Linked DNA regions of Sus scrofa. The main gene of each other region encodes a partner of the protein of the gene in region 3 in a complex. Links are inferred from orthologs where the notes say so. Each region holds a gene or a part of one and is shown on either strand. Other genes may lie near its edges. The genes, in order: EAF1, EAF2 and CDK9.

Region 1 (4,285 bases), on a different chromosome or scaffold from region 3:
ACGGCAACGCCGGATCGTTAACCCACTGAGCAAGGGCAGGTATCGAACCCGCAACCTCATGGTTTCTCATGGATTCGTTAACCACTGCGCCACGACGGGAACTCCAACAGTGTATTTCTAAGGTACAAAAACTTATGAAGCGTTTTGACAGGCTTCATATATTCTCTACCTCACACTGCCCGTGAGAATGCAATAAAACACCCCTCTTCCACACATTCTTAATGAAAGACAGTTCAAATAAGGCGTAATATTAGTTTACCTCTCTACAAGATCTGAGCTCCTCAAACTCTCTGGTGGTCCAGTGTCTATCTTTGAAGAAATTAGTGCTATTTCTTTTGTAAAAAAGGTCCCAGTTTTTCTGAGCCTCTTTTTCCAGTTTTTGCTGTTTAAAATCAGACACTAAAGCCTGGTCTCTTTTCAGTTTTTCCTCTTCTTCAGAGCTGAGAACCCTTGCCTGCAGCCCTTTCCTTTGCAAAGAAGCCATCTCCTAAGTTGATGGTAATATATTTAACACTGCTGGATATTCTCCCTTCGCGAATAACCCGAGAAATTCAAGCAGATACTACACAGGCAGAGTTTTCTCAGATGCGGCCCCTCTCTTTGGGTTCAGGCCTCAGGCAACGTCGGGTGTTTTGCAGGAAAAAAGAATGAGATTCTGGTTGGGGGTTCTGGAACAGTTTTAAAGATGCTGAGTTAGTGGTTCTAACACAGTTTTTTCACCAAACAGTTCAATTCACCAAATGTTTACTAGTGGCCGACCCTACACAAAACCCTGCCCCGCTATAAGAAAAGAGGTCATAAAGAAGACCCAGACACTGCCCTTGCCTACAGAGGGCTGACATTCAGCTGCCAGGGCGCTCTCACGCATAGAACTCTAATTCAAACCTGAATAAGTCAACTATTATAATAAATCGCTTTAGTTTAGAACAGAGTCACTCCCAAGAACTAAGAAACCTTTGGGGGAAGATACTCGTCAATGTTCGGTGCCCGTGAAAGGGGCGACTTAACAGCTGCCGGTACTGGAGAAGGGTGGTCAATTCACAGACAGAAGCAGTGTCACCGTTTCCAAGGAACACGGAGCTAAGCCTGGGAGGCCTCAGTCGCAGAGTTTCACGAAGCAGAGGGGCGTCGCTTTCCAGGAACTGAGGCCCTCGCGCAGTCGTCCGCGCAAAGGGAAGGAAGAGACCCAGGGACGCGTGGTGTGGGGTTCCAGGACACCGGGGATAACCTGGCCGCCCGGCCACGAGCACCTGTGAGCGCTTGTGAGGAGCCCTGTTCACCGAGACCGCCGCGCGCCAGCGCCCAGTCTTCAGTTCCTAGGTTCCCCTGGAGGGTGGCGCCGGGCGCGCTAAGCCCTCACCCAGGCCCAACCGCGTGAGTAGAATTTGGGAGCCACCGCGGTAAAACCCAGCGGCTGGACAAACCAGTCTGCAGCACCTCGCATTGGGCTTCTCCCAGCGGAGTCTTTTTGCCATGGCACCGCCCCCGCCACTTCCGCTTCGAGACCGGAAGTCCCTCCCCGGCGCCGGAAGTTCCGCGGCCCCGCTTCCTCACAGTTGTCCCCCGCCCCGACGCGCACGCCAGGACTTATTTCCAGCCGCAGGTGGGCACCGGCTCGGTTCTCCGCTCGCCCCGGGGTGCTGTCCCGGGAGCGCTGCTCCCTCGAACTCAGGCGCCGGCAGCTCCGGCCGCGGGCGCGCCAGGAGGGCGCCGGGGCGGGCGCGCGGCCCGTGCGGGGCCATGAACGGGACGGCCAACCCTCTGCTGGACCGCGAGGAGCACCGCCTGCGGCTTGGGGAGAGCTTCGAGAATCGGCCGCGGGCCTCCTTCCACACCATCCGCTGTGAGTCCGCATCCCGCAGCCGCCACAGGCCGACCTCGATCCCGTAGCCCGGGGAGCCTGCCAGCATCAGTTCCCTTCCTATCTCCCCGGATCCGCAGGGACATTTTGCTTTTTCCCGGTTCACTCTTCCCAAACAAGACTTTTCGTCCCTCCCTCCTGTTCCTCTGCCTCGTGGTCCCAAACACGTCTTCCAAAGACCATTGGCCCCCTTTCCTGCCAGGTCCAGCCCTCCCGCGTGCCGAACCTACCCCTCTTGCTGCCTAAAGGTTGCCGAGTCCACATCAGGGTTCAGCTCGTTTCCCTAGGCCCCCCACTCCACCACGACCCACTAGGGGATCTCCACGATTCAAAGATTTTTCCCGTTTGCTTGGGAGCTGCCTCCACTCTCTCCTATTCCATTTTCTTCTGTTGTCCTCACTTTTCTCGTATGTTTTGGTTCTGGCCGCCCTAACGCCGCGCTTCATCCCCACTGCAAACATCAGAAACCGCATTCCCCTCTGCGCCGCATCAGTCTTCCTCCTCCATCTCTTCGTGCCAGCTTTTCGTCTGCCTTTGAGGTTACCTGGACTACCCCGACTTTTCCTCGGGACCATGTCCCTTGTGGGTGAGGAATAAAATTGGAATTTGTGAGCCAAGAATAAGTTACAGCTTGGTCTATGTTTGGAAGCAGAAGCAGCAGACATAAGGAATGTGAAAATAGTCATTATGCTGGGTCTCCTTTTTCTCCTTGATTACAGACTCTGTTGAGGGAGGGCCCTTCTACTCTGTGTCCTGAGTAAAGACTTGGCTGACTGAGCATCTCTCTGATTCACAAACTCCTGGCTTCCCATCCTGGTAGCCCTAATGCTGGTTAAGACTTGTTTTTCTGAGAGGAACTCTCAGAGGTGACTCAACACCTTGGAAGAGGGTGTGTTAGATAATGATGTTCTGTCTTCATGTGGTCACTTGCACCGTCATTCCTCTTCTTCCTACTGACAGCAGATCAGCCCTTTCTGAGGGAGGATATTGAGGATGTGAGGGAGCGTCATTTCCTGAGGAGGTTATTTGTTGGTAGCGTGAAGGAAAGTGAGGAGCTTAAGAAAGATACTTCAAAGAGGCACCTGGCCTGCAGGTTGAGGCAAATGTGTGTTAAAAGTAAGAGTGCTGTTCAGGTTGTGCTTTAACTGCAATCCAGAGACACAGGCAGGATTAACCTTTGGAAATACAGTTCAGCGGTCATCCCCAAACATCTATAGGCGTGTCCTTATTAAAGCTATGGAACTTGAGTGTGGCAGATCCTAATGTTGACAGTTCCTATGCAAAATGAAATCAGCGCATATGATGCTGTAGCTTTTCATTTTTCACATTGGGTTTTACAATCACAGGATTTAAAAACTGTGCTCTGTTGCTTTTGATCCTTGTAATTACCCTAGTAAAACATTCATTATGAATAAGGCATTAATTTTCATCTGTCACTTGAGAGAGGGGAATATCTTTGCTTAATAAAATAGTATATACATTCTAGCTTTTTTTTTTCTTCAAAATAATCCAGTGGAGATGGGAGGAAAAGTATGTGGAGGTATAGCTGCAACAAGATTATCTTGGAGCTGGTAATTATTGAAGCTGGGTGGTGGTACACAGGAGCTCGTTGTATTGTTCTCTCTGCTTTTGTGTATGAGAAGTTTTCCACAATGAAATACTTTTTTAGAAACTCCTAACTGGTTTGTATTTTCCATTTATCTGAGTCATAAAAAATTTCAATTCTTAAGTGAAAATGCCCCAGAAGCCTTTGCTTAGTATTAGTAACCTGGTAGATAAATGTTTTTTTCCCTTTCCCTTTAGATGACTTTAAGCCGGCATCTATAGACACTTCCTGTGAAGGAGAGCTCCAGGTCGGCAAAGGAGATGAAGTCACAATTACGCTGCCGCATATCCCTGTGGGTTTTATTCCATCGTTGTTGTTTCTAATGTGGAATCACAGTGGATCTTCATATTCTACATTATTGCAATTTGATTTTCCTCCTGTTTAAGAATGTGTAGATTCCTAAAATGCCAGTTTGGGGGATGGAGTGGGATAGAATTCACATTTCCCATGTACTTGAGTAAAAATAATTCTTTGCCATTTTCCCCAAGCTCCCTTTTTCTCCATTTATTCCAGATGTCCTATGCGGACAACTAACCCCTCCTTTAGATGTTGTTTAACCGCCCCCCCAGCCCCTGCCCTGCCCCCCAGCAGCTATAGAGAGAAAGACCCAGGCACCTGGAGGATGTAAAGTGGCAACAGCTTAGGAGCATGGGGAGGGAGGGCGGGGTCAGCCTGGTTCCTGTATATGGCAAGGGGTGATGTGCATTCTGGTAGCTTTCGGCCAGAACCAGAGGTTCAGAACATTCAACTTATTTAGGGGCAAGAAACCCAGTTAAAAGCTGAAGGGAGAACTTTTGCAGAGAGACTCTTTCGAAGCT
Region 2 (3,541 bases), on a different chromosome or scaffold from region 3:
TGATTTTTTGCCCTGGGTTGTCTTTGTGTGTTGTATGATGTTTACCAATATCTCTGCCTTCACCACTTGCCGCCAGCTGTGGTAACCAAAGATGTCTCCAGACATGGCCAGATTTCTCCCTGGATGACAAATTCATACCTGGTTGAAAACTGCTATTATATATGATTAAATTAGAGTTACTAAAATTTTGTTTAAAATTTTTGCATCTTTGTTTATAAGAATATTAATTTGTTTGCTTTTTTTGGTAATGTCTTTATTGTGTTTTATATAAGTAATTCTGGCCCTAAGGAATGAGTTGGGAAGTGTTTTTTCTTCTTTAATTATGCAGAAGAATTTGTATCAAACTGGTATAATTTCTTCCTTAAATGACTGATAGAATTCACTAGTGAAGTCATTTGTGACTGGAGATTTATGTGTGGGATATGGGAGTGCTGTAACTGCAACTCAGTTTTTTTAAGATTATTTAGGGGTATCTAGGTTTTCTGTTTGTTCTTGAGCTAACTTGAGTTAGTTTGTGCTTTCAAAGAATTGATCCATTTCATCTAATTTGTTGCGTTTATGGTCATAAAGTAGTTCACAGTGTTCTTTCCTATTCATTTAATGTTGTAGGATCTATAGTGTTGTCACCTCTTTCACTTCTGATATTAATAATTTATGTCTAGTATCTTTTTTTCCTGATGAACCTGGTTGAGTTTTATAAACAGTATTTATTTCAGACAATCAGCTTTTGGTTTCATTTATTTTCACTATTTTTTCTGTTGTCTTGTTTTTGGCTTTTACTGTTTTTTTTCCTTCTACTTAAGTTTTAATTTGCTCTTCCTTCTCTATCTTCTTAAGGTACAGCTTAGCTCATTTAATTGAGATCTTCTCTTTTCCCCAATATAATCACTTAAGTTTTTAAATTTCTCTTCAGACTGTACTTTTTTTATTTCCCCAATACATTATTTTTTTCTACTTTAGTTGTATTCCACAGATTTGGATAAATTGTGTTTTTCATTTTCATTCCTTTAGAAGTATTTTCTAAAATCTTTTTGATTTCTTCTTTGAACCATGGGTTTTTTAGAAGTGTGCAAATACTTGGAAATTATCTAGGTTCAATTTATGAAATTTTTACTTTTGCTTTGTTTTGGTAGATAAAATACTCTGTATAAATTCAACCTCTTAAAATGTATTGTGGGACAAGATGGCATAGACTTATCTATTTATGCTTCTCCCAACTACATGAAACTATAAACCTTGGAAATAACACAGAGACAACCAAGGGAGAACCCTTAAAGTTTGAAAGAGGAAGGTAATCTGGTTAGGGACCCCAGGAAGGACTAGGGGAACAGTATGGTCAGGGCATCTTATAATCTCTCCCTCCCAGAAGATGGCAGTTCAGGCCCAACATGTCTCGACCCCCAAGTTACCTACAGAAGGCATTTCAGATAGGTTCATTCTTCCCCCATATTCAAAGGTGTATCCAGCAACATCAGGCTAACTTGGACACATGTTCCCACCAAAACACACACACACACACACACACACACACACACACACACAATGGTAACTAATGTGAGGTTATGTGTTAAGTAACTTGATTATGGTAATCATTTTACAGTGTATATGTACATCAAAACGCTAAGTTATATACATTCAGTATATGAAAAATTTTTGCCAATTATACTTCAATAAAGCTGATAAAATTCGTCTGTGTATGTAGTGTTGCATTACATGTATTGAGGAATGAAAAGAATTAGAGGATGGTTTCTATCAATATAGATTTTAATTTTTACAATTTAAAATGTTCACATTCTCTTTTATATTTTATTTGAATTACGTGTGTATTTAAGTATAAAGGTATAAGTAAATGTAGTGTTCAAATTTAGATATTGCCTATGTCTTATACTTTTCACAATCCCAACATTGAATGTGGCTTGGCTTGATGGTAAAGGAGATTTTTTCTTTTATTTTGGTGGGGAAGTCTGTGGACTATGTGTGTATGTTGTCCATAAATTGGACAAGGAGAAAGAAGTACTACCAGAGAAGAGCTGGGAAAGAAAGGTTTGAGTCCAGAGATGCAACTTTTGCTAGAAAAGCTGCCATTTTAAAAAAATCTTGGTTGGGTGGTAACAAAGAGCACACTTGAGCTCCAATAATAGATGAATTGGGTGTCAAAATCTAAAATGCCAGTTTCCAAGCAGAATTTGAAAACATATACGGTCACAAGAAAGTGTTAGGAGTGATTATTCCTGGGGAGTAGTATTAAAGGAATTTGAGGAGAGAGTAGAAAGAGGGATTTTCCTTTTCATTTTGAGTAGGAAAGAAGCTTTTTAAATGTAAATATATGTTTAGTCTTATTTATTCCTCATCAACGGTTTATTAGAAACTAACACATTCAAATTTTATTATATTTATTTAATACTTACAGTTAATGTTATTGATTTAACCTATTGACTTCTATTTTATTTTCAGAACTGAAGGCAGAAGCTAGTCTAATGGACCAGATGAGTAGTTGCGATAGTTCATCGGATTCCAAAAGTTCATCATCTTCAAGTAGTGAGGATAGTTCCAGTGATTCAGAAGCCGAAGAGTGCAGATCCTCTCCTGATCCAGGGAATTATATCTCGGAACATCCTACCATGTCTGCCATGCCACAGTGCAGGACTCCTGAGATTGATGCCAGTCGAAATAAATATTATGACAATGGCCTTATGATGAATACTTTAAGTAAGTATACATAAGCATGAGTAATCGGAAAAGTAGAATTCACAGTGGATCCATACTGATCATGCTTTAAAATTTGGATCAAGAGAAAGACTTCTTTTATTCATCTGACAGTCTTAACCATTACCTTCTTATTGAATTATTCATTTTCTTTCGCCTCTGTGACAGAATGCCTTTCTGGTTTTTCTCGTCTTTCTAGATGCTTTTCTGTCTCTTCTTTTCTGGTTTATAATATTTCACACAGTCTCTAGAGCTGGAGTTCTTCAAGGCTTAATTCTAGGTCCTTTTTTCTTATTCCATATGCTTTCCTCCATATTTTTCTGCAGTCAATTCTTATGTACAGATAACTTATAAATTTGTATCTCTGACCTAAACCTCTGAGCTCCAGAGACATAAGTCCAATATCATCTCATATTCAATGGCATTTCAAATTCACTTTATCAAAAATAAATTTATAATCTTTGGCTAACTGTGTGCCTAACGAAAGTCAGAATTTACCTAGCTATGCAAAGCAGGAGCCTGATTTTATTCTAGGATTGACTTCCTCTCCCTCTTTATAGTACAGTCAATCCTTCGCCATCTTGTTTATTTTACCTCCTTATTCTCAGATTGATCTACTTCTCTACAACTCTACCACTATCACACTAGTGAAACCTAACCGTTATTTATTACTTTAACTATGCAATGATTTCCTATCAGGTTCACCCCTTATCTACTCAAACTCATTTTTTATCCACTAAGTACATTGCATCCATACTTTCATAATTCAAATATAATTTGTCTCTCCTACTTTAAACTTTTCAATAGCGTATAATATCTTTTAAGGATAGAAACA
Region 3 (4,308 bases):
AGAGAAGGAGATGGGTGAATGGTGGGCTTGGAACTTGGCATGGACAGCGGGCCTCAAACAGTACCACTGCTATACTCCTGGACAGACTGTAAATAGCCTGAGTCAGAGAATCCTTTTCAAATTCAGACAGACAAGGTTCGAGTCCCAGCTTTGTCACTGTGTAACCTCGGGCAAATGATTTCACCTCTCTGAGCCTCGATGTGCTCTTCTATAAAATGGGTTAGTGACCCTAACTTATGGGGCTGTTGATTCAGGATTCCGCAGGAATGCCCAGCACTTGCTGAACACACAAGGGTTGTCGAATAAATGCTGGCTACTTTTGTGACTACCGACCCAGGCACGACCATCTTGGGCACAGCTCAGCTGGGACGGGGGTCCTGGGCCTCATCCCTGCCTCCCAGAGAATAGGGGGCCCGGGAGTTGCTCGCTTGCCGCCTCCAATGTCGCCGCGCCCCCTGGCGGCCATCGGTTGCCATATCAACGGCGGCCGGCGGGGGCCCGGAGAGGCGGGCGGTGGGGGCCGTTCTCTCCTCTCTGGACCCGAGGCTGCTTCCTCGGCGCCTCCCTCCTTTGCCTGTAGGGGGGCACCCGGAGCTGGGAAGGAAGGGGTTCCCTGAAGCTGCTGGCATGTGTGGGTAAACTGAGGCACGCGGCGAGTCGCCCAGCAGCCAGGTGTGGAGCGCGGGGCCCCACCTCCGAAGGCGGAGGAGGGGCCGCGGGCGGTGACGCGCCGAGGGCGGCGGGCGGACAGCGGGCGGGCGGGCGGCAGTGGCGGCGGCGGCGGCGGCGGCGGCAGCGGCGGCAGGTGCGGCCGCGAAGGGTGGGAGGGAGGAGGGAGGGGGCGGGCGGAGGGGGAGGGGAGGGCGAGGCCGGGGCACCTCCCCCTTTATAACGCGCCCCCTCCCGGGCTCTCGGGCCGCCTCCTCGTCGGCTCTTTCCGTCTGGCCCCCTCGTCCGGCCGCCCCGGGCCCGGGCCCGGCCAGGGAGCCCCCAGGCCGAGGCTTGGGGGGCGCCCCCCTCCCGCCGCCCCGCGCAGCCTGGCGGAGGCGGCGCCGTCGGAGGAGGAGGAGCAGGGCACTGCGGCTGGCCCCGGATCGGGCGCCAGAGCGGCAGCGGCTTCGGCAGCAGCGGCGGCCCGAGCCGATGCAGCGGGACGCACCACCCCGAGCCCCAGCCCCGGCGCCCCGGCTCCCCGCGCCCCCGATCGGGGCCGCCGCCAGCACTGGCGGCGGCGGAGGCGGGGGCAGCGGCGGTGGCGGAGGCGCCTCTGCAGCTCCGGCTCCTCCTGGCCTCCCGGGAACTACAAGTCCCAGGGGGCCTGGCGGCGGACGGCGGACGGAAGAGGCGGGGTCGGCGCCGCGGGGCCGGAAGTGGCCGTGGAGGCGGAAGTGGCGCGGCCGCGGAGGGGCCTGGAGCACGGCGGCGGGACCCGGAGCGGGAGCGGCGGCGGCAGCGGCGGCTGGAGGTGGCGGCGGCGCACTGGAGGCGGCCATGGCAAAGCAGTACGACTCGGTGGAGTGCCCCTTTTGTGATGAGGTGACCAAATATGAGAAGCTCGCTAAAATCGGCCAAGGCACCTTCGGGTAAGGCTGGGCCCCCAGGGACCAGGAGCCCTGAGCCTGCACCCCTCTGGACCGATGTCGAGACGCCCAGGCCCGTGTCCAGTTGGTTGGGAAGCCACCTAGCCGCAAACTTGTCCCCTGGTCTCGCTAGGCCGCACCGCAGCCCGCCCGTGCCTGACCGAGCCGGCTGGCGGGGAGGAGCCTGAGGCCCTTGATGGGAGGCAGGGAGGGGTTGCAGAGAGGAGCCTGTGAGTGGAGCGGGATCTCTCCCAGCAGCGGCGCCTGGGTGAGGAGAAAGGGCAAAGGGAAGGAAATAGAGGCTCGGAGAGGGACCGAAGATACCGCGCGTTGGTGTAGCCGAGGGCCCTCTGTACCCGGCCCAGCCCCGCCCGGGATTCCCTTTCCTGCCCTCCTCTGGTGGGGGCGGGGCGGGCCCTGCGGAAACGGCCTCAAGAGTCCTCTTGGGTCCCCCTTTCGGCCTGCAGGGAGGTGTTTAAGGCAAAGCACCGCAAGACCGGCCAAAAGGTGGCTCTGAAGAAGGTACTGATGGAGAACGAGAAGGAGGGGGTGAGTACGGGGCGGGTGGGCAGGCCTGCTAGGTCCCTTGGGCAGAGGTTGGGTTTCCACCCTGCTTCTGGGACTTTCATGCTGAGGTTGAATTTATGTGTTTAGGAATTTCTGTGTTCTATGGAATCTGACTTTCAGGTTAAATCTTTTAATTCAAATGTTTTAAAGAGTTTGATGTTTCATTCTCAGGTGCACGTGGTTGGTGCCAGGAGGGGGAGCTCATGCTTGCACTGAGTGCACCCTGGTTCCTGAAGTTAGGAAGTTTTTAAACACTTTTCCTTTGGGCTTTACTTTTGTCGAATGTTTAAAAAAAAAAATCATATGTCATAGCCCTAAAAGAGTAACTGGTATTCAATTGAAATGCTCCCCCCCCCATCGTAGCTCTAGTCCAGTTTCCCAAAGACCTGCTTCTTTATTTTTTGTCTTGTTAACCATGTAACAGGTTAAACACGGGTGCAGAGCTCTACATTATGAGTTTAAAGAAACCGTGCAGCATTTAATGGCTAGTCATAAAGCATTTGTGTGAAGTAGCAAAACTTCAAGTCATCGTCTGAAACCAGCTCCCGAAGGGGTACTTTCTACTAGTATGCCCGTGTTCTAAATATGGCATCTGAGGCAGCTCATTTCAGAGCCCACGATTTGACTCTGTCTCCCAACCTTCGACCCTTACTGTGGATCCCATGGCCAGTTCCTGGGTCAGTAGTGTGCTCTCCCGCTCTTGACCTCCTTGTCTTTCTCTCACCCAGTTCCCCATCACGGCCTTGCGGGAAATCAAGATCCTCCAGCTCCTAAAACACGAGAACGTGGTCAACCTGATTGAGATCTGTCGAACCAAAGGTAAGCTGTTTGGATCTTGCCCTCCGTTTTCAGGTGGGGAGAATGAGGCTTCTCGCCTCAGGTTTTGCTGGCGGAGCTGGAACCGGACCCACTTCACTGCCTCTTCTTAACCCAGACACACCACCTGCAACTGCTTTCCCGGGTCCTTTTGTGGGAGCAGGTGCTTCCCCAGGGCCTGCCACAGCGCCCGGCCCAGAGAAGCACTCAGAAAATATTTTACCCGTGCAGGAATGGGCAGCCACATACCCACTGTCCATAGGTTGGAGGGGGTAGGAGCTGGTTGTGGGAAGATGAGTTGCGTGTGAGGTTTTTGATTTTTTTTTTTTTTTCCCACCCCTCTCTTTCTCCCTCGTGCTTCCTGACTCAGCTTCCCCCTATAACCGCTGCAAAGGCAGCATATACCTGGTGTTTGACTTCTGTGAACATGACCTCGCCGGGCTGCTGAGCAACGTCTTAGTCAAGTTCACGCTGTCGGAGATCAAGCGGGTCATGCAGATGTTGCTCAATGGCCTCTACTACATCCACAGGAACAAGGTGGGGGCCGGGGTCGGGGGTCGGGGGGAGACCCAGGCTGGCCTGGGCTCTCCGTGCGGGGTGGGTGCGGCTCAGGGCCCCTGGCTACCCCCGCCCGTGTGCTTCCCGCAGATCCTGCACCGGGACATGAAGGCGGCCAACGTGCTCATCACCCGCGACGGGGTGCTGAAGCTGGCCGACTTCGGGCTGGCCCGGGCCTTCAGCCTTGCCAAGAACAGCCAGCCCAACCGCTACACCAACCGTGTGGTGACGCTCTGGTACCGGCCCCCGGAGCTGTTGCTCGGTGAGGACGCTTGAGCAGGCCTAGGAGGGGCAGGAGGCTGGGCCCTTAGCCAGCCTCCGCTCCCCCCTGCCTGGGCTTCTTGAGCTGCCGGCCCTGGGGCCCCGCGCCTCCGGAGGCCGGGCTCAAGGGGCCCTCCTGGTGTGCTCTTCTCAGGGGAGCGGGACTACGGCCCCCCCATCGACCTGTGGGGTGCCGGGTGCATCATGGCGGAGATGTGGACACGCAGCCCCATCATGCAGGGCAACACGGAGCAGCACCAGCTTGCCCTCATCAGCCAGCTCTGTGGCTCCATCACCCCTGAGGTGCGTCGCCAGGCTGTCTGGGCCCCGCAGGCTGCAGAGATCCAGACCTCTCCTTGGTAGAGGAGGGGCAGGGCGGGGAGCAGAGGGAGAGGTGGCTGGCGGAGGGTCACAATCTGCTCTTTGGGGCCACATGGACTGTGTTCACCGGCTCCATCACCGGTTAGGTCAATGCTTTTGGGCGAGGCTTCTGAACCTTTCAGAGCTGAGCTCCTCTTCCGGGCAA

The links.
Region 1: CDK9 (region 3) and EAF1 share a complex: the UniProt entries of both Homo sapiens proteins name them as parts of the super elongation complex. The link is inferred for Sus scrofa from reciprocal best matches to the Homo sapiens genes CDK9 and EAF1.
Region 2: CDK9 (region 3) and EAF2 share a complex: the UniProt entries of both Homo sapiens proteins name them as parts of the super elongation complex. The link is inferred for Sus scrofa from reciprocal best matches to the Homo sapiens genes CDK9 and EAF2.

The regions. Positions count from the first base shown.
Region 1 is NC_010455.5:2,653,356-2,657,640, forward strand, and holds the start of EAF1 (ELL-associated factor 1), read left to right. Parts: upstream 1-1,473; coding exon 1,474-1,843; intron 1,844-3,664; coding exon 3,665-3,759; intron 3,760-4,285. Other genes in the region: METTL6 (methyltransferase-like protein 6), read right to left, coding at 260-484. UniProt on the Homo sapiens protein: Acts as a transcriptional transactivator of ELL and ELL2 elongation activities.
Region 2 is NC_010455.5:138,650,582-138,654,122, reverse strand, and holds part of EAF2 (ELL-associated factor 2), read left to right. Parts: intron 1-2,454; coding exon 2,455-2,709; intron 2,710-3,541. UniProt on the Homo sapiens protein: Acts as a transcriptional transactivator of TCEA1 elongation activity. Acts as a transcriptional transactivator of ELL and ELL2 elongation activities. Potent inducer of apoptosis in prostatic and non-prostatic cell lines.
Region 3 is NC_010443.5:268,275,592-268,279,899, forward strand, and holds the start of CDK9 (cyclin-dependent kinase 9), read left to right. Parts: upstream 1-1,491; coding exon 1,492-1,583; intron 1,584-2,047; coding exon 2,048-2,129; intron 2,130-2,875; coding exon 2,876-2,966; intron 2,967-3,333; coding exon 3,334-3,500; intron 3,501-3,611; coding exon 3,612-3,783; intron 3,784-3,936; coding exon 3,937-4,085; intron 4,086-4,308. UniProt on the Homo sapiens protein: Protein kinase involved in the regulation of transcription.